4 linked regions of the Struthio camelus genome follow. The protein of the gene in region 4 purifies or fractionates together with the protein of the main gene of each other region. This does not show direct contact. Links are inferred from orthologs where the notes say so. Each region holds a gene or a part of one and is shown on either strand. Other genes may lie near its edges. The genes, in order: AKAP9, AKAP1, VAPA and PRKACB.

Region 1 (7,193 bases), on a different chromosome or scaffold from region 4:
AAAAAAAAAAAAAAAAAAAAGAGAGAGAAAGAAAAACATCAGCAAATACACATGAACGTTGGTGAATCTCCATTAAGAGCTTTTTATTCCATTTTTTTAAATGGTCTACTGGAGAAGGCTGATGTGTTCGTACAGAGCCAGGCTTGCGTACACTTAGCTCCATTCAATCAAGAGAAGACACACAAAGCAGCTTCTCATTTCCAACATGAATAAAAAAGACTCAAAGAAAAGGACCTTCCTTTGCACAAAACCCATTTGATATACGCTTCTCTACGCAAGCTTTGTGCAGACAGACAGAATTCTAACACAACATCAAGAATAAAATAAAAAATAAGTAAAGTTCCACAGCAAGTAAGTTCACAGAAAACCAAATTTCAAAGCTTTCCTACTGAAAATTATGATCAGAAAACAACCAGACGATTGTTTAACAGAAAATTCATTTTGCATAAACTGAAATTTCGTAGTAGTTAGCTATCTACTTTAGAGAAAAAAAACAAGAACATAAGTCCCATTTTCGAATAACAAATCCACTGTCGAACCTCCATAGCGTCTACTAGACTCTTCTACTGGCTTCCCTCAACTACCAACATCCATCCCACAGTTTACGTCATATCTTATTTATACGTAAAATGTATTATTTCTGAGAGCAACAGCAAGGTATCTGAAGTAAAGCAATATCTGCTTTTAGCACAATACATACTGTAATATATTTTTCCAGCTATCTTATTTAAAGAACATTCAGTGGTTAGGCTCAAAAGGTTTTTGGATGCATGCTACTATGGTTTGCATTACAAACATCAAAGTTTGGCATCAAAGCCAAACAATGTGGGGAGCAATACTGAGCACAGTACTGTGAATGTGTTTATATGGGGAAGGGGACAGAGGGAGGAGAGAAGTGGCTGGAGGAGCAGTTGCTACTTCCATTCTCAGCTAACAGAATTTCTTCCATCTTCATCAGCGATGCTTGTCACTGGAAGAGCGTAACGTAGCCTCTGCAGTACAACAAATTTACTTATACCACTCACGTGTAAAAAAGGCATAAATAGAAGACTAATGAAAATCGGAACAACTGACACTGCTTTTATAGTCCCTTACCACGTAAATCACATAGATTTAAAAATTTATAATGACTTAAACCACAAGGGATGTTTAAAAGCATGGTATATGCAAGTCTTCAGGCAAATACTTACAGGAAGGTCGTCATTAGGTTTCAGTCAGAGAAGGCTAGAAGGGTGAGAGTTATGACTGTTCCTAAAGTGCAACAAAACTACTAAAATGTATACATGTATTTTCTCAAAATAAGATGGAAACCACTGCATTTATGCTGGAGTCCTGGCTTTGGGTTGACTTTTCAGTAATTGTCAGACAGGGACAGAAAGATATACATCCCAGTGAAATTTGCCATTGTTACAAATCACAAGAACAATGAGAGATTTACCTCAACCTTTTTCTTTGTGGACTACTTTTTAATTTTCTGAAAAAGAATTAGCCATGCTAGGTGCAAAAGAACGCAAGACTGCCACCAGTACCAGCCACCTGATCTGTCCCAGTATCTTTTAAAAGCACTGCATAACATCATTTTTGCTCTAAGCGTTTAAGAACAAATTCTTCTATATACAGTTCCATATACAAGAGTTTCTTGATACTTTTGACCACTGCTTCAAGAGAAACAGAAACAGGTGCAGAGTTACAAAAAGTTTATGATAACACAGCAAAAATATCTATTCAGTACTTAACAGCTGAACTACTGCTACTTTTCTGCAGATTATAACAGCAAGACAATGCTGCTATTTTGTAGCTTTATCTTTGTTTTTTCTTTTCACTAGGTGCACTGCTAGCCTATGCCAAGTTAAATCTGCATCTTCGTGAATGACTGATTTACAAGGTTCTAAATCTACCCTTTAGCAATAATTGCTGGGAGGAACAAAGCGATACTGAATGTCAAAACACTTTTACCTTATTTATTTACGAGTGCTGATAATGGCCTTATGCCACTGACCGTATCACAGCTTTTTAAATTAAGACGGATGAACTCTTAGATCACGGTTAACTCGGGCCTGTTGCCCACAAGGTGAAGAAGTGCTTTACAGCCAGGGTGTACTGAGCCGCACTGAAGAGTAAAACCATAAGCTCCCGATTAACACCCCGATGAGCAGGCTACCTACAGTATAAGCAGCTGCCCGTGCAGTGACCACGGCACGCTAAGCCTCCGGGAACCACTGGCTTCAAGGTGATGAGACCTTACCGTTAACTTCTGGAAGCCACTCACATTTATACTATCCGGCGTATTAAAATAACTGACAAACGCACCGCACCACATGAGATGGAAGCGTCTTTAACTCCCTGCCTCCTAATACCATCTCACCGCATTAGTGCCACACTGAGAGCCAGCTGGCGTTTTTTCAAACTTCCTGGAAGGTTTTATAGGATTTTTGTTTCAGGGAGTTGCTCGGTTTTAAAAGGCAAACGGGAATGTGCGTGGCAAGTTTAAAGGGGTAACGAGCTCAGCTCTGCTGCTCCTCGGCCCTTCCCCGGTTCCGCGGGGCAGGCGGCGCGGGGCCCTGCCGGGGGGGGGGGGGGGGCTGCTGCCGCCCCCGCCAGAGAAGCGGCCCGGAGCCCCCAGCCGCTCCCCAGCGCAGCCCCAGCGGCGGCGGCGCAGGCAGCACAAAGCGCCTCCTCCGCCCGCCGCTTTGTTCGCCGCGGGCCGCCGAGCCGAGCCCCTGCCGCGCTCCCCCGCCCCCCGGCCCTGCCTCTCCGGCCCCCTCGGCCGCCACCACCGCCGCTTCTCACCTTGGCTTTCCCAGCCTCCAGCTTCTTGAGCCGCTCCTCGTCCTCCATGGCGCCTGTGCGGGCAGAGCAGAGCGTTACCGGCGGCCGGAGGCGGGCCCACCCCGCCCCCGCGGCACAGCCCGGCGCGGCGCGCACACCCTCGCGCGCTCCTGCCGTCTCACAGCGACGGGCGCTGCCGTGGCGGAGCCACCGGCGCCGCCATCTTCCTCTCCACGTAAACACGCGGCCGCGGAAAGTGACGTGGCCGCCGCCTGCTCCTCCTCCAGCCGCCGCCGTCCCTTCCCGCTCCCTCCCTCCCGGCAGCCGGCCCCGCGCCCGCGGCAGGTGTGGCCGGCGCCGCCTGTGCCCCTGCCGCTGCCCCGACGGGCGCCGCGCCGAGCCCGGGCAGAGGCGGCAGGCGGCGCTGCCCCGGCCGCGGCCCCGCACCTGACGGACGCCTCCGGCGAGGGGCCTGAGGCGCTGCGGAGCCACCCGCGCCCGGCGCGGGCACGGCCGCGGCCTCCCCGCCGAGAGAGCGGGGGGCACCGGCAGGGACGGGCTGCTCGCGGCGGGAGGAACGGCGAGGGGCGGCCGCTCCCCCCGAAACAACGGCGTTGGCGAGGGGCCGGCGGTCCTGGGGCCCCTTCGTACAAAAACCCGAACGGACAGTAGCGGAGTTCGGGGGGGCTGCCGCATTGTGTCTTGCGCAGCCCGCCCTCTGCGGCTACAGTGCTGACCTCATGTAAGAGACGTTGAAATAGTTCTGTTAGAAATCACAGTAGGCCGTTTGGCACGTGGCAGTTAAATGCTAACACAATTTCTATACCTCATCAGTCAATAGAAGCAATATTCTGGGATTGCTTAATGTTATCGAGTGAACGTGTGCCTTGCAAGGCTAATAGGAAATTGCATTACATGTTTGTGACGTGCTTTTTCTTTCATTTCCCTGTGGGGTGAGTGTTACTGCTGTTGAGGTGATGGACGGCACTGATGCACACGTTCCTGGCGGCCCTTCTCTGTTGGTGTGCAGCAGCTGCATGTGAACAAGCACATTCCTTATTCTGCATTTGGAACCATTCCGCCGTATTAAACGTGAAATCCAAAACTGCATTTACGTCTCAGACTTGCCGATCTTTTTAACACAATTCACCTTTTCCACTAAATGTTTGTTTTTCAGTGTAAAATTTATGTACTGTATTTAATATATGTTCTTCCTTTGCTTTAATTTTCCAGCAAAGCCCAGATGCACCAAAAAAATGGCAACAGGAAAAACTATTTGCACAGTATTACTGACCAGGACCAAGAGGAAAAATACTAGGACTCCAAGCAGAAAAATTCCACACCCATATTACTGCCAAAGTAAACTAAACCTGTAATCTGAAATGAAATTTTTAAAGTTTTCCTCACTGCTCCTAAAAGAAAGTACACTTCACAGAAAAGTTTGAAATCATCTGTTGCTCAGTACATGTATTGTGTATTGCTGTATTTACAACATAATAGCCTACAAACTGCAGTAGAAAAGGAAATGAATGCCATTAATGTCAAAAGAAGATGATGCCATCCTATGGAAGGCAATAGTATACTTTGCTCTGTATTTGAAACAAGCACATGTTTCAGTTACAATTCTCGGGCCTCGCTATTGCATTGCAGGAAAAGCACGTTATAGAAAAAAAGCAAATGAAAATGAAATTAATAATTAAAGAAGAAATATTTTTATAGAAATAAAAATTGATTTGAGATCCTTTCTGGAAAACATGTTCTCAAGTTAGCAGAAGAAACACTTCACTCAGGCCCTTCACAGAGAATCCAAAGGCCCTGAGGAAAAAAATCACTTTTTCTGTGCAAATGAAATTCCTCTTGGCTGAAGGAGTCTAGTGTCACTGAACTAGCTGTTAGGTGTCAGTAAAATTTCACACGTGCATTATGTGATAGTAATTTCACCTTGATAGTAATTTCTTATCAGTAAACATCACATTTAAATGATAATTACAAACTCCTCAAATCCCATAATTAAATGGGTTCTTGAGTTAAAGCTAAGAACCAATGCGTCTAATTTTTCTCTCAGTTACGAGGCTTATATCCATGTAATTCTAATGGATTTCAGCTGAACACCTAATTCATGGCAATGAAAGTGAAAAAATCAGACAGACAAACTATAGAGTACTGTGGAAATTACTATTGCATAAAATATCCCAGAAGATAATATTTCTTTATTTTTTTGCAAAGGAACTGGGCTTTCTAAGAAAGAAAAAAATCAAATACAGTATGATTTCCTACTTCAGTTGTGTTAAATTCCTATTTTAAGAATTTATGCAAGGCTAGCTGACTGGAATTCAAAACTTGGTCAGGTTTCTATACTTTCAGGTATAGAAAGGCTTGCTTGCTTAACTCTCAGAAATGACCAATAATATTCACCTTCCTGAGCGTGGAAGACACTGTTGAAGAGTCTGGATTACAAATAATCAATATTTTGAAGTAACTTTCTAATGCTCATTGAAGGCACATAAATTAAACATGTGTAAGCTGCTTTCAGCAGTAGCATATGTGAAGTGAACCTGAGTTACTTGGTAGACTGTACATCTGATACTCTCTAAAATATGAATGACTACTGTTTTGGCCAAAGGTTATTTTTACAGAGAAATATATTTATTGTTGGAAATATTTGTAAATAACTACACTGAACTAACTGTGAATATCAAACCTAGTTTTTAGATGTGTTGCTCTGTAAACAAGGACGAAGGCCTCTTCACCTCTAGCGTTTTTCTGTAATGATGAAACTCTACCTCTTTCCTATCCCTTTTGTTTCCTTTATTCACTGTTCAGTGAAGGCATGTCTGGTGACTCAATGGACTGCAAAGTGGACTTCAGTGGATTGCAAAACCAAAAGATGAAGCTGAAGGACAACTTGTGACAGTCACTAATTTCTAGTTAGGGTACTCAAATTCTTTCACAATCCACGGAAGCCAGAATCAGAAAGGACTATCAGACCATAGCATGCTGCTGGTAGATCAGGTGTGTAAAAAGGGTGCAAAATTACAAAATATCAGAGGCCTAAACTGATAATACAATCTCTTACAGCAACAACTAAGGACCTCAGATACTCTCTGTTTTCAAGCATCATAATAATCAGCAATACCACTGAATAATGAGACTATCCAACTCTGCTTTATTTCATTCAATAACAACAACGAAGTAGTGAAATGGAAATCTCCCTCATGAACTACATGAGAGTCCCCGAACTAGTTCAAAATAAACAAACAAACAAGCTGTATCACATCAGTCAGATGTTTTCTTAATGCCGATACAATGACCATGCCAGTTTACGTGTCTTAAGAAAGCTAAAAGTGTATTTCCTCGTCAACGTGTGTATTGATTCACTGTAATGCAGTAGAGTAGTCCTCCTGGCAATGGATATGCAACCTCTGATAAAAATGCCTAACTGTTCTTTTGTGACACTAGATCTGATGTACAAAGCCTACCTGACAGGAAAATACATTGGATTTTAGTGAACGTTAAATTGATGGAGTGATGTGAAAATGAGAGACACCTCCATCTGAGAGGTGACTGTGCCAGAGGCATTATTTGATCAGGATCCCACTATGTTCAATGAAAGCAGATGCAGAGTTTTATTTACTGATAGTAAGACAGGGCCTCAGTGCTTACCTGTCATAGTGCTTATAACAAAAAAAAATCATTTGCCTCCATCTCAGTGTGAGATTGTACAAAGAATGTGAGGTTACCAATGACTAGCTTACCTCTGCCTCTGCACCAGCTCTGTCCCTTCCCATCTGCTCCACAGCTGCACTGAGCATGGCTGCAGCTGCTTTGTTGCTATGGTTGCAACAGGCAGGTGATTTAGGTTACATGTGTAAAGCTCATAATTTCAGAGACTCATTGTAGGTACTGCTGAGGGAGCGTTACAAAAGCAAATTAATTTGCTGTTAGCAAGTGCAACTCAATGCAAATTATGGGTAGAACTTGGCCAACTGTCTTTAGATATTATATCTATGTGTCATACAAGCATTTTATAAAAACTCTGCCACTTTTACCTCAGGGATTTTTCAAGTATGTTATTTGTCAGGACTACCTTATAAGGTGTTTTAGGAGCAGACAAGTGTTCTCTCCTTAAAAGCATGGCAGAACAAATGCCATTATAGTCTAGCGAGGCTTGGTGGTTAACAGGTAGGGGAAGTAGAGATGTAAGGAAAACTTTAGGATTTAAAGAGAAAATAGGGTATTTTTTCCTTTCAAGAATCAGTGGAGAAGCATGGCTATATGAAAAATTATCAAATGTGGCAATCAAGGTCTCAAGTGACAGCTCAAATTTCTATTTTTTTTAAACGAAAAAAGACATCTAAGGCCATGAAACAGCATGAGCACTGATTAAGAAAACAGAGTTCCAACGTACAGAGAACCAGTTACCA
Region 2 (7,647 bases), on a different chromosome or scaffold from region 4:
AGAGTACTAGTGACCATTCCATTTCAAAGCAAGTACGTTCCTTTCCCACAAGTAAAGTTCATGATTTATAGGTGGTGAATCCTATGTGCCTTGCAACGTTGGTTTCTTCGGTTGACTGCTGGTATGTTTAACGAGTCCTCAAATGAAAATAAATCCCAGGGTTGTGTGGGTGGAGAGTGTAGAATAACGTCTCCTGTGATGTGACTTGTTAAAACAAGTACAGGTTTGTTCTTCAAAGCAATAATGAAGAAAAGTCTGATGATTGTCTCCCTGGGGATATTCAAATGATAGGGCTATAAATAGGAAAGAGTAAGTCTAGCAACGTGCTAAAGAAACTCCCACTGAACTATTAAATTGTAATTTAATTTTTTTTTTCCTCGTAGCAGACTGCCCTTCAGAAAAGCTAGCACGATCTGTTAGGCTGCTTTTACCTCCTGGTTAATGTATTTAGAGCGTTAGATCCGGCTAGGAGATCTGGATACCCTATAGAACAGATTTCCTGAGATGAACAAGAATTGGGCATCCAGACCTCCTCCACAGCCTTCGAAAACACAGGAAAAATCAAATGGCTGGGTCCAGAAGAGAGCTATCAGGAAAAGGCCTAACTGGGATTGACTTTTCCAAGCTCTGGTTTACTGACTCAGTTGCCAAAGGCTACTTATGTTTAAGGTATGGCCATAAGACTCCAGGCCACGGTGCAGTGACTACCTTTGCCTTAGCTCTGCTGGGCTCCATTGCCTTTGCTCTAATTTGCTTTCTTTGAAGCTCCTCCACTTGCTGGCTGTGCTTCCCCCGCTCCTTACAGTAGCAGCCATGGAATTTTTTTTTTCCTTTCCTTGGTGGAGAAAACCCTCCAAGGGCAGTTTATTAACTGCTCCCTACCCCTACTAGAGCTCAGTCATTCTCAGAAAGAGGCCTGGAGTGCATTTAGCACAGCGTCGAGCAAGTAAAAGAAAGGGCTTTTCAGTTCTCCTCACAGCAGCTAGCACATGCAATGAGAAGGCAAGGAACAGTTCTGTGCAGTGTGAGAGACCCACCCAACTATCTGTAAACAGACATGACTGAACGTGGGCTGGAGACAGGGCAGAGACAGCAACACTAAGGCAAAGAAGAGGCTGGTTCAGAGCAATACAAAACATACAAAAGCTCCAAGTCTCCAAAATACAAACACAAGGAGGCCACTGAGGTGGCAGGGGCAGGACAACAAAGTGAGGGAAGGAACCTCTTAATTTACCCAGAACATATAGCATCTAACGCCTCAGTGCAGTAGGGCTCAAACAGCAAAAGTATGTGCTGTTGAATATTGACTTACTCACGTGAGACGCAGCTCACCCAAAGGTGAAAAGGGGCCATCACCCCGCTCTGTGCATTCTGTCCCTCCGAAAGCTGCACTGGATCTGTTCTCCAGGTCTTATTCTTCTCTGCTCCTCCGCACAGCCAGGCCCATCCTTGTTTCTAGTTCCTGGTCTCATACAATTCCTGAAAGAGGGAAAATTACTGCTATTCCCTTCATCAAGTACAGTGCCCACATGGCTGCACTACTCCGAGGAACTCCTGTACAGAGACAGGCATGGCGCTCAGAAGTGATACACCCTCTCACCCATGGTAGCTCTCTGCCTTTTGCATGGAGATGAGGGGTCTGTCGTGGCTGTGGGAGTGGGACTCTTCTGCACTGCAGCATTTGGAGCAATGACCCACTTACAGACAGGCGAAACCAAGCTTGGGCTAAGAGAAGGGAACCTGCTGTATCACTCTGACGCTTGGATCACATACCCTGCAAAGCAACTCAGCAAATATGCTTCTGTTGGCTTTAATTTTCCAGTTCTGTCTGAGATGTTAATGGGTATACCCGTGATTTACAACAAAGGCATAGGTAAAAAAAGCAAGAATAAATTAGCCTTGAGGATGCTGACATAACTTATCTGTTCTTTTCTTGGTTTCACTAATCCCTTTTTCCTTGTATGGGGCCAATTTTTCTTACCAGAAACATCACTAAAATTTAACAAGCCACCTAGAACATTTTCCCACTCATCGAAAACTCAGAAACATGTACTGTTTCTGCATGAAAAATGTGACTTATCAGCCACAGAGGCAGTTATTCATTCTATTAGCAGTTTGTTTTATTTGACTTTTAGTTATGACTTCCGTATTACTCAACAGAATTTTATTTTTTCGTTTCACTATAGTAAAGCTTACAGACTTCAACTAAGATAAGCGCTCCACTAGGCTATGCAATCCATGCAGGGTAAGATATCGTCCTTGCCCCAAGAACTTAAAATGTTTACAGTCACTTCTTGTGGCTGACACAGATTGTCTTCGTGACCTTGGATAAATCTCTTAACATCTCAATACCTGAATTGCCTCACTCAGTTAAGGATTGCAGTCACTTGACAGGAATTCTTATACAATCTTCTGAGATTTTCAGATTAAATATATTAAAAGGGCAAAGTCTTAGCGTTGCTGGCTTTTTTTTTTCCACTTCACACGTTATGCATTTTACCATCTGTTAACTGATGTTTCTAATTTATGACTGCTCTAAACAAAAGAAAATGATTTAGGCAAACCAGGAACTTTTCATAGAAAAATACTTATACAAATGAGTAATTTGGGAAGACAATCCCACTCAGACACTATTTTGTGATTTTTTTTTTCTAAGTTACTCATTTACACTGTCAAACGTACTAACTGCCTGCTGCATACACATGTAAATGAACAACTGAGCAGTTTTAATTCCAGTTACTAGTAACCAGTAACTGGTTAGTAAGGCCAATAAAACTACCTTGATATCCGATTGTTAAAGTGTTCACAACAGTAGATTTCCTGCATCATTTACTTAACTTTTATTATAGCATGCTGTTTACAGCTGGGCAATATAAGAACTGAAAGAAGTTATGTAGCATGAAACCTTGGTTACTGGAGAAAGGAGGCTAATTTTGAGCAATTTGTTGCTATCAGACGAAGATGACAAACAGGCTCTCACAGGTACGCAGACTCTAAGGATGACGATTGAGGCTTTCACATACTGCTGCAGCTCCTGCTGGTTATCAGCAGGAATTACTCTGTTTTAATGGCCGAGTCCTCACTTCTTTCTCTGCTGTCCCCTGCTACCTCTTCTTCCCCAAAGCATGCTTGCATGAGCCATCTCTCCCTTGCCTATTTCTTCCCTCTGACTTTGCCACTGAGTATCAAAATGATAAAAAGCTGCTTGAGTCATCCCCTTGGGAAATCCAGAGCCACCTCTGCTACCAAGAAGGCTCCAGTGACGAACCGAAACCAGTTTTCTCTTCTCACAACATAGAAACAAATGCCAAATGGGTGCAAGTAAAGCGGTTTCCCCAGAGTACATCTCAGTGCCCAGATGCAGCAGGTGCCCTCTGGTTTGCAGCAGGAGCAAAAACTTTGCTAGGCTGCATGGAAAAGAGAAGCATCGTAGAAAAAAAACTGATTCCCGTGACTCCTTGCCTTTCCATGCAACTGTGCTGGATTATTTGGAGAGAGGCTTCACCACTCCCAAACTGCTCTTCCCACAAAGACTTGGCATGGAGGCCACGCTCCTCCTGTTCTGGGTGTTAACAGTTTTATTAACACAGAAATTAACAACGCTTCACCATTAAGGTCGGCATGGTGAAGGCATGGCCGCGGCTCAGATTGCTCAGGCCGCACCCTATATCCTTTTCCTCTTCCATACCAGTCCGCAGTGCAAACTCCCAAGCTCCTTAGAGTAACGACCACCACTTCTCGCACTCTGCTCCAAGTGACTTGCCCAGAACTGTCCTGCAAGCAACCCTCAGAGCGAGGGGCAGAACCGGGCCCTGCACACCGCTCCTGGGCGCTTTTCAGCTGCGCTTCCCCTCCCCAAATCCTCCAAGATTCCTTGGGACACAACAGTCATTTACACACCGTATTTCTCTTAGGGATGCAAAATGCTCACGGTGGGATGTAAAAAGCTCTGGGGGGAAATGTAGTTAAGTGTTTAGCAATGAAATGAAAACATAACCCTCATTAAACCCAACGAGCACTACTGCCTCCAAGCAATTACCTCGCTGAACATGGATTTTCATTTGTCAATCCGGTTCAGCCGTGGTAGCAGAGACTCGGCCTGGCATAGCTGCTGCCTTACCCGACGGCTTACTATTTAACACCTCCTCATCAGCTGGGCGCCGGGCAGCACGTGGCTAACACTTTGCCTCCTAGCAGAGATCTGACTACGCGTCTGAACGGCCTGGGGGCCGTGGCCAGCGCCGAGCCCCATGAGGGGACGGTCACAGGCTGCGGCTGTGGGGCTGAGGAGAGCCGCACAGTCCCGGCGGGGGGCAGGGCTGACAAAGGCGCCCGACTCCGCGCTCTCTGAAGGAGGGAAGTCAGCCACCGAAAGCCCGGCGGCAGCGGGAGGCGCAGCAGGTCCTACCCCTCCGCAGGCGCCGCGGGGTGGGGGGGGCGCCGCCATGCCGGCGGCCGCCGAGGCCCTCGCGCGCGTAACGGCCGCTGCGCTGACGGTTGGGGGGGGGAGGGGACAGAGGGGCGTGCGCAGGCGCGCGGGCGGGTCTCGCGCGGCGAGGAGCTCTCGCGAGAGTGGGCGGGGCGGGGCGCGCGGGGCCGGGCGGGGCGGGGCCGGGCGGGGCGGGGCGGGGCGGGCGCCGGTGCAGGTCGGAGGCGCCAGTGCGCGGCGGGGCCCGGCCGGGCGGCACGTGGGGACGGCGCGGCCCGCGGCGGGCGGGGGGCGGGCGGGAGCGGGACTGGCGCCGGGCACCGGGCACCGGCGCGGGGGAGGGGGAGCGCCGCGCCGCACGCACTGTAAGTACCGCACCCCCCCCCCCCCCCCCCGTCCTCAGCCCCCTCCCTGGGCCTGTCAGCCGCCAGGCCGCCCCGGCGGGAGGCCTCCGCGGCGCGGCGCGGGCCTGGCGGCCGCTCCCTCAGCCAGGTCGGGGCGGAGCGGAGCGGGCCGGGCCGGGCCGGGCGGCGCGGGGCTCCCGCCGGCAGCCAGGCCGCGCCGGTGACCGCGGCGGGCCAAGGTCAGGGGCGGCGCGCTCGGGGCCGGCCGGCCCGCGGGTCACCCCCGGCGGCGGCGGCGGCTCGGAGAGGAAAGCAGGGGGCGAGCGGAGCGCCGCAGGCTGGGTGCTACCGGTGGGGATGTCTCGCGTTGTCTGCGGTGCGATAAAACTCACTCATAGTCGGGTAAGGCCCCGTCAAGCTGGTATTGACAAACTTCTCGTGTATTGGCCTTTTTTGTTTTTTTGGTCTTTATGGCAGTGTATAGCGTGGTGTGTAGTCAAGGCTGTAGGAATTAAATTGCATTTCTCCTCAGGAAGTAATATCCTACTGTCCTTGCCCTTCTGGAAGAAGTTTTGTTGTTTTGCTCTTTATTTTTTCCTTGAGGGAAACAAGTCTAAGCTACTTGTGTGCCGGGGTTGGGCAGCTTGGTCTGGGTCTGGCTTTCTAAGGTCTTTGTGGCAACCTGGTAAAGCATAATATGAAGCTGCAGCTGTGGCAGGGCAGAATGAGTAGGCATCTCGCTAAGGGCATCCTTTTCATGGCAGGTGATCTGCAGTGATAGGAAACAGCAACTGAAGCTGCACGCTGCCACGATCCACATGGCAAGGAAAAGTAAGGGGCCATCGGATGGAAGTAATTCTGACTTTCTGCGTTTCTAGGCTCGTGTGCTGCCTTCGTAAGGTTGGCTGTTGTGCCTACACCTGCTGGGTGTTATCAGAATTGCTGTGGACTTTGTCTCAGGTGAAAGGAAGTGGCTTGTTGCTGGGGAAAGTGGTAGCAGGAGAAGGTAACTTTACTTTTCTCCTGTTTGCTTTGTGCCTGTGAATGATCTACTGAGTTACAGCCGTATGTCTGGGTGCAGTATAGCCAAGGAAGAGCACGTGACTTGCTGGAGTGCAGCACAACTGCTTGTAAGGGGTGTGTGACTTTTCCTCGGTAGCACGTGGATTGGAGCTGTCAGAGCAAGGGAGCTGAGTGGCATTGGCTCCTCTGCCAATGGGTCACTGTGTGACCCTGCTCAGATCACTTAACCTCCTCATTCTTTAATGAGCTACCTGCGTAATGGGTGAAATACTCTGTAGCCTTCAGCTGACCTAATGTGCCTTTCATCCAGTAATCTTAATGTACATATGATGTAGCCTGAAAAAAAGGATAGTGCAGTTTCACTATATGTGTCTTGATTACACAGTTTTATTCTTGATTAATTGGCTTACATGTAAGTGCTCACCTAATGCTGAAGAAAATTAAAACTCTTTAGTAAGTTAAAAGGAGCAAGAAACCTGTAGAACTCAAGTTATGCTGTAAGCTTACTAGAACCCACCTTTTCATTACATAACTTTCTGTACCACTCACCTGACAGTCCCACAGCTTCTGTTTCCAGTGCTCCTTTGAGCTCTCCAAGGACTTCTAGAAGCTCTCATGAGACAGCAAGGCTTGGGGGAGTTGGGCACGCCAACCTCACTGTGGTGGTACAGTACCTTGCCCAATGGGGCCAATGATTGTTTGCTCTGCCAGACGTGAAACAAAATCCTGGAAGAGGCTGTCCAAGGATATCATTAGACTCTGGAGGAGCTGCATGAGAGGGCTGTAGGAACCCAGGTTTTGTGTGTTCTTGTAGCTGCTGCTTATTTAGGTGTGCTCTCTGTAGTCGCACCAAGTTTCGATACCTGGCCGAGGATCCATGTTCCATCTTAAAGCTACCTGGAGGTGCTTTGGGATAGCTACGTTGAAAGTCTGTCTCTATCCTCTTTCATCAACTGCCTAGAAAGCCTGGGCTTTAACCTAGGCGTTCCCCAAAGCCTGAAGTTAGACAACAGGAATTCCCCTTGCCAGCCACAGTGTGAGATGAAGGCACCTGTAGTTCAGATCCATCATGCTACATAGGTTCCTAATTCCTGCAGGTCCTCATAGGAGTTAACTATGAGAGGAGTCTGGTTGTTGAGGATTGCAGCCAAAGCTGTTCAGAGCCAGAAGCAGGTGACTTGCTACACTGAGACTCTTGTGCTCATTTCAAAAATGTTGCAGGCTGTCTTTTGGGATATTTGAAACAAGTCTAGTTTTTGCAGTAGTAGAGTTATCTGAAGAGCGTAATGCTTTTAAAGCAACATACCCTACTTATCTATAGCGCTCATCTTCCATGTGCGCTTAACTAATGTGAGCAATTTATTTAAGGTATTTCTAATGTCCATGGAGACTGTAATAAAATCAGGCTTGGTATCCCCAGGTGCCCTCCGCAACATCTAGAAGTAATTAAAAAACATGAATTACTTTCAGTTATTTAATGTTTGAGATCTAATGGCTGGCCTTCTTTAAACTGTGATTTCTAACTACAGTGCTCGTGTGGAACTCTTCACGCAAATGGCCTGGTTAAACTTTGTGAAGTGTAACTTCAGGCAGCCAGTTTGAAATACTTGTAAGGAGCTGTTTTATTCAGCAGGTGCTTAATATTTCCTGGAAGTTAAGGCTATTGAGTTTGCTTTTCGCAGGGATCCCAGAAGGTGATAGGTTTGCATGTAACTCATTGCTTTGCAGTCTGTGTTCAGCTGCTCTACTTATTAATTGTCCCCTGCAGGAGTTCTGTGCAACTTTGCTGCTGCATTTTATACACTAGCTGGAAGCTGACTATTAATTTATGGGATCTGTACATCACTATTG
Region 3 (7,484 bases), on a different chromosome or scaffold from region 4:
AGAAAATCAACAAAACTATGTTGTTCTATTCAGAGGTTTAGACTTAAATCTGATCTGTTACACACGCATCATCACTATCAGGTCAGTAACAGCCATGGACAATTGTTGCAATAAAAAGAACCTTGAACAATCAGCTACACTGAAAAAAAAAATACTTTTTTTTTTTTTTTTAAACAAAGGCGCATGATTTTCTACACATAATTACACTTATTCTGAGGCCTACTCTCTCTTACTAACCAATCTGGTTTTTAAAAGACAATTCTCAGAATTTCCTTCTGCCACTACTATACTATTTAATGCAATACTTTAGAACTGAATTATTGTTTGTGGTACATAAACTTTTTTAAACAGCTCAGAAAAATAAGCAGTTAGAAAATATTTACTGAGAGAGCATTTGATGTGCTGCTTTTCCTACAGTGTATTGAAATACTACAGTCTCATTATGCTTCAGGTTTTGTTTTTCCTTAGTCTGCTCTACACAAGTTTTCGTCATACATGCATTAGCCCAAAACCAAAGTTCATGCCTAAAGATTACCTATTTCATACCGTAAACACACACCCCAATAAAGACTACTGATTGGCAGTCGCTTCACACAGACCTTCTAATCTAATATTTATTTGGTATTCCTTATATCCACAGTTTGTTTGTATCACACAAATACAACTTACAGAGTTTCTTCAAGCTGGAAGTGTTTGCAAGCTGCAAATTAGACATGGCAACTTTTTTTTTTTTTTTAATATACATAAATTTTCCTCCAACTTACTCTGACAAGAAGAGCACAGTGTCTTGAAATTTCAAGTGCAGGCAAACATGGTAGCATTTTAATAACACAAAATACAAGTGAAAAAACTAAGTTTCCACTATGGTTTTGGCTCTGTGAATGTGCAATTTAAAAACTGAAACTGTCAAAATAGGAAGATGTGGGATCCAACAGATTTTGGGTTAATTGATCTGATGGATCAATAAAACAATTACAATTTGTTATAAATCTCTATGATAAACCAGACTTAAGCTTTATTTATGAAAGCCAGGCCAATCAAAGGTATTTTGGGGGGAATACAATGTTTCACTGTAAAACAAATATTTATTTGCTCTACTCGGCCATTAAAAAAAAAATTTACAACATCATAAAGTCTGCTTTATCCCCCTAAGACAATATAAAAATGAGCTTACTGAAAATAGAAAAATTTACAGGATTAGACAAGTGCATATGCTGACGCTGCTTACAAAACTTAAAATCAGCAACATTAATTTTTTTTAACATGATCAATGTTATTTAAACTTATATTTTGAAACTGAAAAGTTCATGGAGATTTTTCTCAATACTCATCATGGGTACTAAAAAGAAATTCACTGAATACTGAAAACTGTTTATTATACCATGCTTTTTTAGACCCCTACTTATCAAGTATCCCTCTTAGCTTTGGAAAGAGCTTATCTTTTCACAATCATCTAATTTGTGATTTATTAGGAGGGAAAAAAACCCAAATGCTAAAGCACTGACTGGAGCCTATTCCGACAGATGCATCTCATGCCACTCATAGTCATGTGGTTGGCATGAAATACCTGAAATACAGAAACTTCTGAAATGCACACGTTCCTTTCTCTCATTCCCAAGGAGCGAACTGCCTTTTTACATAAGTCCAAGTATTAACTGACAACCTGCCTGAAACATGACACCCAGGGGAAAACGGGGGCGGGGGGGACAGAGGAAGAGGGTGTCATTCGCCAAGCCAGTGGGTCAGATTCCCTCAGGGAGAGGGCGCGGGTGACCTGCTCACACATCCGATGAGTGATGGTGCAAAATAACACCACAGATATCAGCACCGGTTAACAGCTAGACTCAAGAGGCGTGCCCACACCGTGGGCCAGAGCGCGGGAGAGGGAAAAGGCCAGATGCGAAGGTAACCGAGTCCTCCTCCTCGGCTCCCCTCGCCGCTCGCTCGCACCACGGCAAGGCACCCGCTCCTGGGTCTCCCCTACCTGCTACAGATAGAGGGAGACCTTACGGAGCGGCTCGGGAAAGGATCCGCAACCACTCAGACCCCTGCGGCCGCAGAAGTGACAGGAGCGCGATTCCCCCTTGCCAGGGAGGAGGCCGGACCCCAGCCCCTCCCCGGCCGCAGCCGGCCCCGTCGCTAAAGGGCCGGGCCGGGCCGGGCCGTGGCGCGGCTCCGCCCGCCTCCCCAGCGGAGCCGTGACACGGCAGGGCCGGTGCCCGCGTCTGGGGCACAAGCGGGGACAGGAAGGCGGCACCGTGCTGGGGCGGGGAAGAAGGCAGCCTCCGCGGCCCCGACGCAGCCCCCACCCCCGCCCGCGGGAAGCGGGCGGCCGAGCAGCGGGCGCCGTGTCCGGCGGGGGCCGGGCCGCGGCGCTGCCGGGGCCGAGGACACGCTCGAGTCCCCGCCGGATCCCAAGATGGCGGCGGCGAAGCCCGTTCACCGGCTCGGCGGCGCCCCCTCCACCCTCACGGCGGCCCCGGGCAGGCGGCGCCCCGGCCCCGCCGCCCCAGCCGAGCTCAGATGCCTCGAAGCGGCCCAGCGCCGAGGCGCAGCCCGGCCGTCCGGCCGCCGCAGCGCCGCTCCCCCCCGCCCTGCCGGCCGGCCGGCCTGCCCAGCCCGGTTCCCCCTCACCTTTGAATTTGAGGTCGGTGGGCGGATCGAGCACCAGGATCTGCTCGTGTTTAGCCAGAGCCCCGGCGGCCGCCATCTCGCTCACTCGCTACCGCGGGAGGAGGAGTGGGGGGGGGGGGAGGGAGGGAGGGAGGGAGGAGGAGGAGCGGGAGTGGGAGGCGGGGAGGCCGGGCGGCGGCGGTGGCGCCGCTCCCTCGCAGCGGGCAGGCGGACGGCGGCTCCGCGCTGGTGCCGGGTCGCGGGCCGAGGGGCGGCCGCCGTGCCGCGTCGCGTCGCGTCGCGTCGCGCCCCCTCCGCGCGCTGCTGCCCCACACCCGCTCCCGGCTCCTCCGCGCCGCCTCCCCGCTCGCACTGCCTCAACAGCCCGGCGACGCGCGCGCGCACGGCCGGCAACGCCAGCCTCTCCGCAGGCACGAGGGCGGCGGCGCGGCGGAGGCGGCGGCGGGCCCCTTGCGCGCATGCGCACGCCTCACTTCCCCCCCCCCCCCCGCCGCCAGTTGACAGCTAGACCCAGCGAGATGCCGCCGCTCGGCGAATCACGCGCCGCGGTGCCCCCTCCCGGCCCCGCCCCTCCCAACTGCCCCTGCGCTAGAGCTGCAGGGGGCGCGCGAGCGGCGGGGGTGGGGGGTAGGGGGAACGGAAAGGAGCAACGGCCCCCTCCTCCTTCGGGAGGACGAGGCGGGAGCAATGCGCATGCGCGGGAAAGATACTGGGCCGCGCTCCTGGCTCGACGCTTTGGGCGGCTTAAAACTCGGCTGGAGGGACTACGGCTCCCGGCATGCAGCGCGGCGGCCGGGCGGAAGCGTTGCGTGCTGGGAGTTGTGGTCCTTGCGCTCTCCCCGCCCCGGGTGGCCGCCGGCCGGTGGGGCTGGCAGCGGGGGCGGGCGGGGGGAGGTGAGGAGCCTCTCCGTGCCGCGCGGCCGTTGGGGCTGAGGCAGGGGCCCGCCGCCATGCTGGGGGCAGAGACGCGGCCTTTCCGTCCGCCGCGGGGAGGGCTGCCTGCGCGGACGGGCTTCAGCCTGCGCAAGGGCAGCCCGCAGCGACGTCCCAGGGCACAACGATCCTCGCTCCGAGGCGCGCCGGGGTGAAAGGCCCAAGCCAGGTTATAAGCAGGGCAGCAGCATGCAAGATCAGAGAGAGGAGGGGGGGGAAAGGGCATCTTCCACCTGGCTTTAAGGTAGGCGGTGGAGGAGCAGCAGGGAAGGAGTTTCCAGAGGTGTGGCTCGAAATGTTAGCTAACTCCTGATTTCCACCAAGAACCAGCATCTGCTTTAAGGGTCACTGTTGACCGGCATGAAAGCAGTTCTTGACTCTTGCAATCTGGTGAAAGTATACTAGGAACATGTACAGGAGGAGAATAACCTATTTGAAAAATATGTCCTGCTGATAAATACACTGAAAAAATCACTTAAATGGCCTTCAGCACGAACTCACCATGGTTAAGAGTTGAGGCTCGCTTCATTTCCTCGCTGAATACGCCTCCCTCAGCCACAACCACAAGGAAGGGTTTTGAGGCCATTCGGCGGGGGGAGGCCCTCGGCGTAAGTTAGGTCCAGGCTCTGCCTTGGCTTGGGCAGAGCTTTCACGCTCCGTTTCAGCTGTCTGCCTCTGCTCCTAGTCTCCCACTGTTGTGTCTCCTTCTATCAGCTCTTCAGCACCTTTGTCCATGCCATCCCTTTCAAGCCACCAGGTCCAGCAGTTCTCCTGCCTCAGCCTCAACAGTCTGAGTAACTGTCCCAAGGGCAGTATTTCTGGCACCGGTCCTTCTTGGTCCTAAGGTTTGAGACATTCTACCACACTAATGTGAGTTTTAATATTGTCACTGACTGAAGAAGAAATATGTTGAGAAACACTGTAGAACAGTATCTCAGCCTATTTTTACCTAATTGCAATTGGCTTTAATAGGTGGAGTTTTGTGGTACGTACCTGAAAATGTTGCTAAAGGCCTGTAACTATTTTGGCTGTAGTTTTCCTGCTACACACTTACTTTATGATGCCCATAAAATAAGTTCTTAAATAGTGTCTTTATTTACAGTACAACATATTTAAAGTTATTGTCTGATGCTGGGCTTTGTTAGCATTACCATGTTCCGCTCTGTTTATGCATTCTTGCCCTTGGGATCTGGAAGATAAAGTGAAAGACAGATACATTTTTTTCTGTCCTACTATATTTGTTCTTCTGTTGTTAACCAGGACAGTTACTCTATTGCCTCCACCTTCTGTTCTTTTCTATTCAGGAATCCACCAAAGATTAAGCCACAATGTATGCCTCTCAGAAGTGATAAGTGAACTTAACCCAAGCCGAGTTTCTCCATACCAAAAGAATTTTTGGGTCTTGGCTTTCAAAGAATCAAGACGTGGAGAACTGCTCTAAAATACTAAACGCTACGAAAGGTTCTATCCTTTCTCCTTTTAACAGGGTGAAAAATAATGGTAGAGATCACAAATTCAAAAGTAGCTCCTTCAATCTAGTTTCAGAAGAGAGAAATACCTGTGTTTTCTAATTCTTTTATACAACTCTGATATAGGAAAATCTGAGGAGAAACAGGAGTTAAGATCTTTCCTTAACATGACAGCATGTCTGACAGGTTTTCTCATGCATGTTTTTCAGTGCAAACGCATTGATGATATACATGGTTGCATGTTAGATTATGACACGTGACATCAGTGGGTGTGTGCAGGTTGGAGGAGGACTGGGTTAATTCTTCAGCAGCACGTTAAGAGGAACTGAATGGACTTCAAGCCTGGGCCCAAAGCACGTTTTTGCTAGCAGAGGGAGCATCACAGAACCAGTCAGGTTGGAAGAGGCCTCAGGAGGGCTCTAGCCCAACGCTCTGCTCGAAGCAGGGGCGGTCAAAACTGAGTTCAAGCCATGTTGCTCAAGGCTTCGTCCTGTTAGGTATGAAAGCCTCCAAGGACAGAGATTTCACAGCTTTCTTGGGCAGCCTGTATCAATGCTTGCCTGTATGCCTTGATGTTTGTAGGGTTCTGCTCATGTAGTCTCACAGTAAAGGCAAAGTTAGTACATAAACACTGAGTGAATGGGTTAATGGCAATTATTCCTGAACATGTATTTTTAATGTAGTGTTTGTTGTTGTTCAAACATGTACAACCTTAGTAATGCATTAATGTATTTTGTTGCATTTAATATAATTTCTGATCTCATGCTTTACACAGTACTGCTATTTCACCCAAACTGAAGTCATTTTTTATATTAAACAAAACCTATGTTGTTGATTAGCAATACCTGGCAGCCTTCTCCAACATATGATTCATTTTTTTAAACACATCATAGCAAAGTTGAGGAATGAAATCTTGGCTCTATTGTAGTCAGTGGAAAACCTCTCACTGATTTGAGTGAGATCATTATGTCATCCCAGAAGTATCCTTAGTGTATTCATTGCTGGCAGAAGACTAACATTTGCTTAATCTCAGGTTAACATTTGTCCTGTGTGTTTGTAGATCTTAATGTTTTTCACACGGTGAGTTTGGTACCACTGTTATAATATCTCAGTTTGGAGATGGCTGGACATTTTTCAAAACCGTTTGCTGTTAAATATTAAATGAGTTCTCTCTATACCTGAGAAGTATCAGTGTTTATTCAGTCTCATAATACTGTTTTGCACTGTTTATTATTCAGGTGGTTTATTCAGTCCTACCAATTCTGAACTTGAAAATGTCTTTCAATGAAAGACTATCGTGACCCTCTTGGCAATTTCTTGCTGTTATTAAGATTGCCAGAAAAAGCAACTAAGTGCTATATCAGTTTGTCATATTAATGGGAAAATTCTAGATCTCGCTCACTGAAGTATCATATGCATGCTCCATTGCTAAGTCAGTAAATAAGTCAGCAAAGGTATACAGGTAAAAGAACATTTTAATTTCCCTTTAAGGAAATAACTTGCCTCTTGGTGCTGCAATTTATCTTTTGAAATACAAAACTATTCTTAGCATACGCAGAGATTAAGCATGATGTAGTCATAATTTACTTGGCTGCTAATGAATTCCAAATATAAATTTAGGCCCACTTGTTATATTGTAAATCAAAGGTAAAACCAAAGTCCACACTATTATAGATTTATAGCGTTATTCAAATGTTAGCACAGACCAGAGGAGTAGGTCTTAGTTGGATATCTTCAAGTTTGTTCAACTACAGGGTATTTCTCTACTTAGTGACCTTATGATAAAAACATACAATGTACTTTGAATAGGCAAGCAGAGAAAAACTAATCCTGGGAAACAATCAGTAACACAAAACATAATAGCATCCTGATAAATAGCTGTAGTGTAAAATTTTTGTACACTTCATATTTTGGACTTGCTTCTTTTCTTGCTGAAGACAAAAATGCTCGAGGCCATTGGTGGTACCTTAGCATTTAAAGAATTGACTGATTCCTCAGCCAACTGAAAATGGGCTAAAAGCCATTAGACATTCAAGGACACATCAGTGTAAGGCAAATGAAAAATGACAGTGTTGTTAAGGGAACAGATTTTTGAACACCATTTTCGGCAATTGATTCTTACAATTCTCATACATTCATGAGGGATGTAATGAGACAACTGAATATACAGAACATGGAATGTGTAATGTGTTGGTTTTATGTTATTTTCCTGTACTTGGTGGAATACATTGTTAAGTCAAATATAAGTATGCTTCCATCTGCTAGAGTGCACACAAGAATGATATGAGCCTTTCAATAGTGAGGTTAGTCACTGGAAGATCTTTTACTTTTCCTCTGCAGCAGCAGAAAGCTATGATTTGACCACAAACATTTTTGGTCTTTCTTCTTTTTTGTAAGGGTGAGATTAAGACCCTTTTTGTACGTAGTTATCATTATCGATGATGGCAG
Region 4 (7,658 bases):
CCAAAGACCAACAAGCAACTAACAAAATGAAACAAAAATCAAAACACAGGCCCCAGATACTTGCAGCTGATCATATTCAAGACATGTAAAACTAAGAAAGAAATGTACAGCTCTGATGACTAACACAGTATCCCTTTCATCTGCTGGCTGTACAGCACAATTGATCCGATTACTAGTTTAAGCTCTTCATTAACACACACAGTCAAGTTTTCTAAATAAATTCGAAGGCCTGTGGCATCCTGAGGCATTTCTGACCCATCAGATTCTAAAACATTTTTCAAAATAAATTCGCTTGGTTTCATACATTACCAGGAATCCAAGGCATGTTAGAAACAACCTGTTTTACATATGAAAACAAGGAAGCAAAGACATGAAATCAATTTCAAAATCAACCACTGAAAAACTCTACAGCCTTCAAATCACATGACAAGTTAAGCTAATCCACAACCCGGGATGACGGACAACATTTAAAACAAATAAAGTCCACCCAGCAAGAAGCAGTTCCTTCCTCTTCAACAAAGCTGTAGCTTCAGCAGTAACTCCTCTGTAGAGGACATGCATAGAAACAGATCTATTACAACATTTCATTATAGCCAAAGGTGTTAATATATTAACTTTCTTTTCAAATTAATTCCAATTCAAAACTAAAAAAACAAATAAATAAAATCCGAGAAGTCATTTCCCAAACTTCTTTTGGGAATTAAACAACGCTTTTGTCTCAAATTTCAGAAGCAATCCACACTAAACTTCTGCTATTTAGCCTCACCTAAAACCTAACAAGAACATTTTATAAGTTGCAGTGATACAGGCAGAATAGTTGTGAATATTCAGATATCCTTACAAGACAACAGTATGATGTTTTTAAAACAGTGCTTGCTTGTTAAACTTCCTATGAATTTGATCTATGGCCTGAATTCTATGACCTGATGCAATTCTATGATATTTAACTATTAGGCAAGAAAATAATTTTCACAGATGCTGTCTTTTTCTGCAAGTCAGCAGTACACAAGAACGCTACTGTCCCTATACTCCCTATCTTCTCTATCATTTCTTGAGCTCAAGTGGTAGTGAAATGAGAATCTAGAAAGGCAGACTTAGTCCATGTGTACCTAAACTACTCGTTATTTTTCTGAATAAATACTATCATTGAGATAATTGAGAGCAAAGCATTGAGAGCAAATATTCAGGGTAAGTATTCAGAATTTCATCCTAAACCCAAACTTACATAATCAGCCAAAATTCAGCTATCAGCTCACTAACTTTGCTTAGGAAAATATTATATACAACCACTGTGCTTAATCATTACTTAAAATAGCATTTATAGAACAACCATTTTCACCATGTTTATCACCAAAAGACACGACATTCCATTTCCTTGTCAAACATGTCATACAAGGAAGCTTGCTTTAAATAGAGGGGAAAAAAAATAGTAGAGACTTGTACACAAACGGGTCACAATTTGTAAATGTTAGTAGGTCAACACCATTTTTTCTTTGTATTAAATAAACAAAGATGCTTCAGTTGTCATTTTTTCTCAAATAGCTACTTATATAAAAAAAGAGCTTCTATATAAACACAAGCATGTGTCTATTTTTACTGACTTGAAGATATTTTGGAGGAATGGAGGCTCACAATTCATGCACTTTCATCATTTATCTTCCCAACAAGACTAGTCTATCCTTTTCCATCTCATTTGGAAGACCTAGATTTAATCTGTTTTAGGCCAATGCATTAACAGCTTTTTGCTTCCATGTTTACTGCATCTCCTCCGAGAACAGATTCAGTCCCCACTGGTACAATACTTCAAATTGAAAGTAGTGAGAAAGATTAACACTGTCTTTCTTCATGGTAACAGGGTGATGTTTAATAGGCCAATAAGGCCTATTTCCAACAGAAATAATTGTGCTATTCCAAATCCATCAATGAAACTGAAATCCAGCACAAAATTATCATCAATTACCATATTGTAACATTTTAAAATGAATATTTAACCACAAAGACAATAACTGACTTGCAAAATAATGCATTGCTTTAAAAGAAGAAAACGAAGATCAAATGACAATTTACTTACACTGTGGTATTTCTGAAACCTCTCATTTCTCTTACGCAAAATGCAATCATGAAAGGTTTTAAGCAACACATATCATAAATGGTTTGCTAACTAAGAAATTAAAGCTAATGATATTCAGCATTCCCATACTAAATTAATACATAAAATTGGTTTTAACTATTATGTTGTTTACCACTATACAGCACATGTTGAAATAGCACATGTTAAAATAAAGTGACAAATGATGAAGAGTCCTGTAATTAGAAGTCTAATCTGTGCAATGTCTGCCCATTCCAAAGTTTAAACACTACACTTTTTAATGGGTTTTCTGTTTCTGCTGAACCAGCAGATTTAATTTGAAAAGAAAGGAAATAATTTATAAGCAAAAAATTATTTGCGGGTGAGGAGAAACCTTGTCTAAACAAGTCAACAGTACTTTAACAGAGAAGAAGGGGCCAGGAATAAATTCTCCCACCAGCCACCCAGTCCTCTGAAATGGTACCACTCTTCCCCCTGCATGATGCAGTAGGTTTTTCTTCAAATTAACACCTTTCGGTATTAAATTGTAAAATTGCCTCTGGAATGCATCACAGCTCAGTATCTGTATCCAACTACAAATATGCAAGTTCTTCCCTTGCTGTGCAAACTGAAGAGAAAATATCTATAAAAACAAACAAAAACCCTACTTACTTGATTTGTCCCATAGGACAGCAAGTTCAGAGAAATGATGGCTCTCATTCTCCAGAGCCGCTCTCTGTTCGTGTGCACCACCCTTCGAATGCCTATGAAAGAGTCGATTAGCAAAACCTTCCAGTCTCTGTAGTGCTGTGGCTGTCCCTGTGCACTGGTTGCAAGGGATCTCCTTCGGAGCTGCCATCTATGCGCTCTGGCAACTCAGCAAAGCAAAAGAGAAAATATCTAACAGGAGCTGAACTCAGGGACACTAAGAGCAATGCATGCATCAAACTTCCTGTAGGCAGTGTTTTCTAACCACTACTCTCTTCTACTTCCTGTTAAGAAAAGCTCTATAATGTACTGTTTTATACTGTCAAAAGCCTCTTTTCACGTCAATTGAAAATAGTTATTTAAAAAGCTGCAAAAACTGCTCTAGCATGTGCTTTTACAGTTTAATATTTACTCACATTTGATATTAAAATATACATTTTACATTAAAATGTAAGAAACTTGTTCAGAAACTTGTTCAGAAATAAAGATCAGAAGCCAGATTTTTTTTCTAGTTTACCACAGCCACACATGAAAAAAGGAAAGTAACTACGCCGCAGCTCTCCTTGGTAAGATGGAGTACTACCGTAATCACAACAAACTTAACCAGCTGTAATATAATCATTAGTAAGCTCTCGTTTTCAATAGAACCACTTTCTAAGCAAGGAGGTTACTTGCAAAAAATCTACTGAAGAAACTATTATTTTGTTATTGCAAAAAAAAATTATTCTCCTCGTTTATGTTGAGAAAAATCAGACTAAAAGAAGCTCAATAATTCTAAAGTACACAAAAACAAGACTACACTATATTTATTCATACTGAGTTCTGCTTACTCTGGGAATGAACCAAGAGAATTTAATTTTTTCAGGGATAAACTATCAGAATGAACAGCATTGGCAGATCCTCCTTTAACAGCATATTCATTCTCCCAGCTCCAAAGGCAGCTGGAAGGAGAGTCACAAAGTCGTGGTCCCCAGCTCACGACATTGCTGGTGTAGAAGCTCCAACTGCAAGACTTGTGGAATTATGTAAGAAACTTTTTTTTTTTTTTTTTGCAAGATGTTTGGATCCTTCTAACTGCAGAATAAATCTAGAAAGCATCATTCATCATGGCTCAGAATATAGAGGAAATAAACTGAAAACAGTATTTAGCTTAGATTATATTATTTTTAAATCATATAATTTTACGTGCTTAAGATGGACAATACAAGAAATTCATTTCTGTGAAAATGGGAACACATACATTGGGCAGGTTTCCCAGTATATCGCCAGCACATAAAGTGTGGTTACTTACTTAAGAATAGTCCTAAATCTTTAAGATTTAAATAACTTGTCTCAATCTGTCTTCTGTCTTACAGTCAACACGTATTAAAGATATACCTTTTACTTTTCACCACCACACTTCTCCCTGAGTAGTTTCCAAATGTCATCAGATATCCATCCTTGGACATTACATAACTATTTCATAACAGCTTCTGGTTTTCAAGGGGAAAAAAAAACCCACTATGATGACAAAAATGCCTATGCTCATGATAAAACAATAAAGCTGAGGGCCAGGCTGTACAGATTGGACCATGTTCCTCACCACGGTCACTTACAGAGCTGCTGCCACCAGCCCCCTCCAGCAGGCGCACCACAGTTTAAGTTCCCAGAACCTGTACCCAGCGCGGAGAAGCCCTGTGCTTTCAGGCTCTAGATGCACTCTGGCGATGCAATTCTTTCTGCAGCGCCTGTCCAAAAGGCTGGGACCAACTGCCTGAACGCTCACATTTTTATGCCACATTTTGCAAATCTGGCTGAGCACCCTCTAGCTAGCCGGTGACCAGGCTACTTGGTGGGAGCAGGCTAAGGCACCACAGCCTCCCCTGGGTCTCAGCCCGTTGCAGCTCTTTTTCTACCTTCAGCCTCTCTGGCTTTTACTTCCTTTGTCCCAGGATCAATGCTGACTTCCAGGAAACCCCAGCAGGTTCGGTGCTCCTGCTGCCAGAAACATGGAACTAGGGAACGCTCCGGGGATTAGCCTGCCTTATAAGGGGCACAAACAGGCCCTGTGGATATATTATACACCACATATAACCACACACTTTATGCTAGAGTAATGCTGTGCCACTCTATATATAGTAGTATAAAAAAGAGCTAGACAAAAACAGTATGCCTATTTCCCTGCTCATTGCCTCATCCCTCTAAAACGCTCAGGGGCGAGAAGAGCCCCTCTGGATTCTCTGGCCTTGCCCCGCAGCACGTGCAAGTCGCTGAGCATCCAGGGAAGCTTGCCAAGAGACTTCAGCATCTTCTCTGACCTTGGCTGTTGCCCCCAATAAACAAAGCCCCATGCCATGAAGGTATGTTCAACTTTTCTCTCTCCCTTCCCACCACCCTTTCCTTTACAGTTCTGTAGTCTTATTTTTTATTACACTTCAGCTAAACTATTTCACCTCCCTGATCCCAAAGACAGCAACTCACAAAATTCAGTTTATGTAAGTTAAAGTCTATGTGGCCTTTATAGTCAATGGAGAGATCTGGGTATTTTCAGAGAACAACCCTGCTCACCAAAATTAAGAGCTGTGAATGCAATGAAGTGCCTAACCTAGACACCTGGATACTTGAACTAGGTCCCAAAAAACAGGAAGCAGAAATATCGATCCTTGGAGATCCAAGAACTGAACGGGTTTAGGTAAAAACAGGCATCAAAAAAGGAATGTTAGAAGATATCCAAAGAGAGAACCTGGATTTACCTTTAATTGCCAAAATTTTACAAACTACTGCCAGTGAACACTGTCACAGAACAAGGTCTGCTCCACACACGCAAAACACAAAAAGAAAGTATTGGTCACATCCATAGTTTGTTATTCAAATATCGATACACAGACAGTAACACACTTTCCTAGTACACACAAGCAGACCAGCACTGTCCAGGACAACAAAGTACACTACCACACTGATTTTCTGTGAAGTAATCCATCTCCCTCATTCCTCTACTGTTTAAAGGTGGACCCTCCTATTTCCTTTCATCTAATCATTCATCTTACTGACATACTAATCTTACAAATCAGCATAGTATTAATTTATTGGCACCAAGTATTTTCTCTGTTACATATGAGGCACGGACCACACAAGCTCCACATAGGCAGTATGTTACACACACACACACAGAGCTCAGTGACTGACGATGCTCTATCAATGACAAAATTCTGGGGCTCAGCTTGTAAAAGGATTTCCATTTGCCAGCCAGTAATGCTTTTCCCTTAGAACAGTTTGTGAAACTTTAAACACTACTAAATGTTTACATAGACACATGCAAGCAGCCTTAATCTCATCTTACTCATGCTTCATGCGGGAAGAAGAAATGGAGGCAGCTTTGATGGAAAGCTGTGTAGTGTTATCACTATGCTACTGTGGTTAAGGCAGTACGCTCTCCTGAAAGAGCAAAACAGTCGTACTTCATCCAGACCAGAAGTCGTCCATGTCCTACCAACTCAGTGCTACAAAAGCTGGATCAGGTATGGGTCAGCTCAGCTGCACAGATGTGTCCATATCACATCAGGCCTGATTAGGATACATTTACTGTCATAGAACAATTTTTTTCTTTTTTTCCTCTAGCGACAGTCTCTGCCTCTAGGGAACTGTCCCGTCCCTAGGAAACTTTTCACTTTGTCACCAAAAAAAAAAAAAAAAAAAAACACTTTATTTTAGGCCAGCTTTAACAGAAAGATAAAACTCTGTTATACTATTATCTAAAATGGTTTATGCTTGAAGACATTAAAACTAGCCAGCTGCCTCAGACAGTTGCGGTCCAGGTCGGCCCCACTGTTCAGCAGCCAGGCAGTGCTGAGAAGCACCCCTCTGCTCACCCAGCACAGCCCCACGCAGCCCGGGGCACCGGGGAGCTCCTGGGGCCGGCACGCAACGCAGCACCATCGAGCCGCGGTTCAGCATGTCTGCTGCATCCCTCCCAACTGCTCCAATCACAGTCAATCCAAACTAGCTAGGCAGTCAACTTAAGACGTGTTTTACTTGCACTGAAAAAGTTAGTTGTTTCAGTGTTTCTAACCGATTTCTAAAATTTCTGTTCTACAGGCAATAATGAAACTCCAACTTCTCTTTCCACTTAACCCTATCACCTAAGTCCTGGCAATATTTTAAAATATATTAAAAAGCCAGGGAGGTGGGAGAGAGATTAAGCTATGAATACACATTACATGTGTAAGGCTATATTTCAGTGAATAATATTTCAATAAAAATGCATAAGAATCTACAAGAGCGAAACTTAAAGCAACAGAATGATGACAGCCACAGAAAAAGGCGAACACTGGATCCTTTAACCTGAAGGAGATGACAAAACCATTTATACTCTTCTGATTGCTAACCCACAACCTTGTGTGCATTGCCCAGCAGACAATTCCCAGCGCAGCTATCCCGGCTGCAGGTAACAAAACGCTACGCTGTAACCAAGGTAGGGATTTTGCAAATCAGCTTCTTGCTGAGAAAAGGTCAGGCACAACACAGCTACATGGACAATTTCTTTTCAGTTATCTTCACTGTAACACCATTTCCTTTTCTAGGAAGCAATTTCACTGTACCAATCAAGCCATAAAACGAACTTTTAAGAAAGGGAGTACCCTTCTTTCCTCAAATAATATAGATGGTCAGGACAACAAAGCAACACTACTCTAAAGAATTTCTTTAAAATATAGACTCTATGCATATGCACATAACTATGAGTAACAGCAGGATTTATGCATTCCTGCTTTAACTGAATATCGAAGAATGCAAACATTATCATGACTTTCAAATTCAGGGAATTTTTTCTAACTTTAGAGAATCTTAGATCTCATTTTAATGAAGTACAAAAATAGATAAATACTAAATACTACGGTATACCTAT

What was found.
Region 1: the proteins of PRKACB (region 4) and AKAP9 purify together in Homo sapiens (affinity purification with mass spectrometry; 5 studies listed by BioGRID and IntAct, counting the BioPlex papers as one, with this or other methods). This does not show direct contact. The link is inferred for Struthio camelus from reciprocal best matches to the Homo sapiens genes PRKACB and AKAP9.
Region 2: the proteins of PRKACB (region 4) and AKAP1 purify together in Homo sapiens (affinity purification with mass spectrometry; 4 studies listed by BioGRID and IntAct, counting the BioPlex papers as one, with this or other methods). This does not show direct contact. The link is inferred for Struthio camelus from reciprocal best matches to the Homo sapiens genes PRKACB and AKAP1.
Region 3: the proteins of PRKACB (region 4) and VAPA purify together in Homo sapiens (affinity purification with mass spectrometry; 4 studies listed by BioGRID and IntAct, counting the BioPlex papers as one, with this or other methods). This does not show direct contact. The link is inferred for Struthio camelus from reciprocal best matches to the Homo sapiens genes PRKACB and VAPA.

What each region holds. Positions count from the first base shown.
Region 1 is NC_090943.1:26,951,162-26,958,354, reverse strand, and holds the start of AKAP9 (A-kinase anchor protein 9), read right to left. Parts: upstream 3,005-7,193; 5' UTR 2,839-3,004; coding exon 2,791-2,838; intron 1-2,790. UniProt on the Homo sapiens protein: Scaffolding protein that assembles several protein kinases and phosphatases on the centrosome and Golgi apparatus. Required to maintain the integrity of the Golgi apparatus. Required for microtubule nucleation at the cis-side of the Golgi apparatus.
Region 2 is NC_090957.1:20,970,742-20,978,388, reverse strand, and holds the start of AKAP1 (A-kinase anchor protein 1, mitochondrial), read left to right. Parts: upstream 1-4,627; 5' UTR 4,628-4,646; intron 4,647-4,717; exon of another isoform or gene 4,718-4,794; intron 4,795-5,047; exon of another isoform or gene 5,048-5,175; intron 5,176-7,647.
Region 3 is NC_090943.1:116,078,915-116,086,398, forward strand, and holds the start of VAPA (vesicle-associated membrane protein-associated protein A), read right to left. Parts: upstream 3,011-7,484; 5' UTR 2,711-3,010; coding exon 2,635-2,710; intron 1-2,634. UniProt on the Homo sapiens protein: Endoplasmic reticulum (ER)-anchored protein that mediates the formation of contact sites between the ER and endosomes via interaction with FFAT motif-containing proteins such as STARD3 or WDR44.
Region 4 is NC_090949.1:21,796,108-21,803,765, forward strand, and holds the start of PRKACB (cAMP-dependent protein kinase catalytic subunit beta), read right to left. Parts: upstream 3,009-7,658; 5' UTR 2,928-3,008; coding exon 2,741-2,927; intron 1-2,740. UniProt on the Homo sapiens protein: Mediates cAMP-dependent signaling triggered by receptor binding to GPCRs.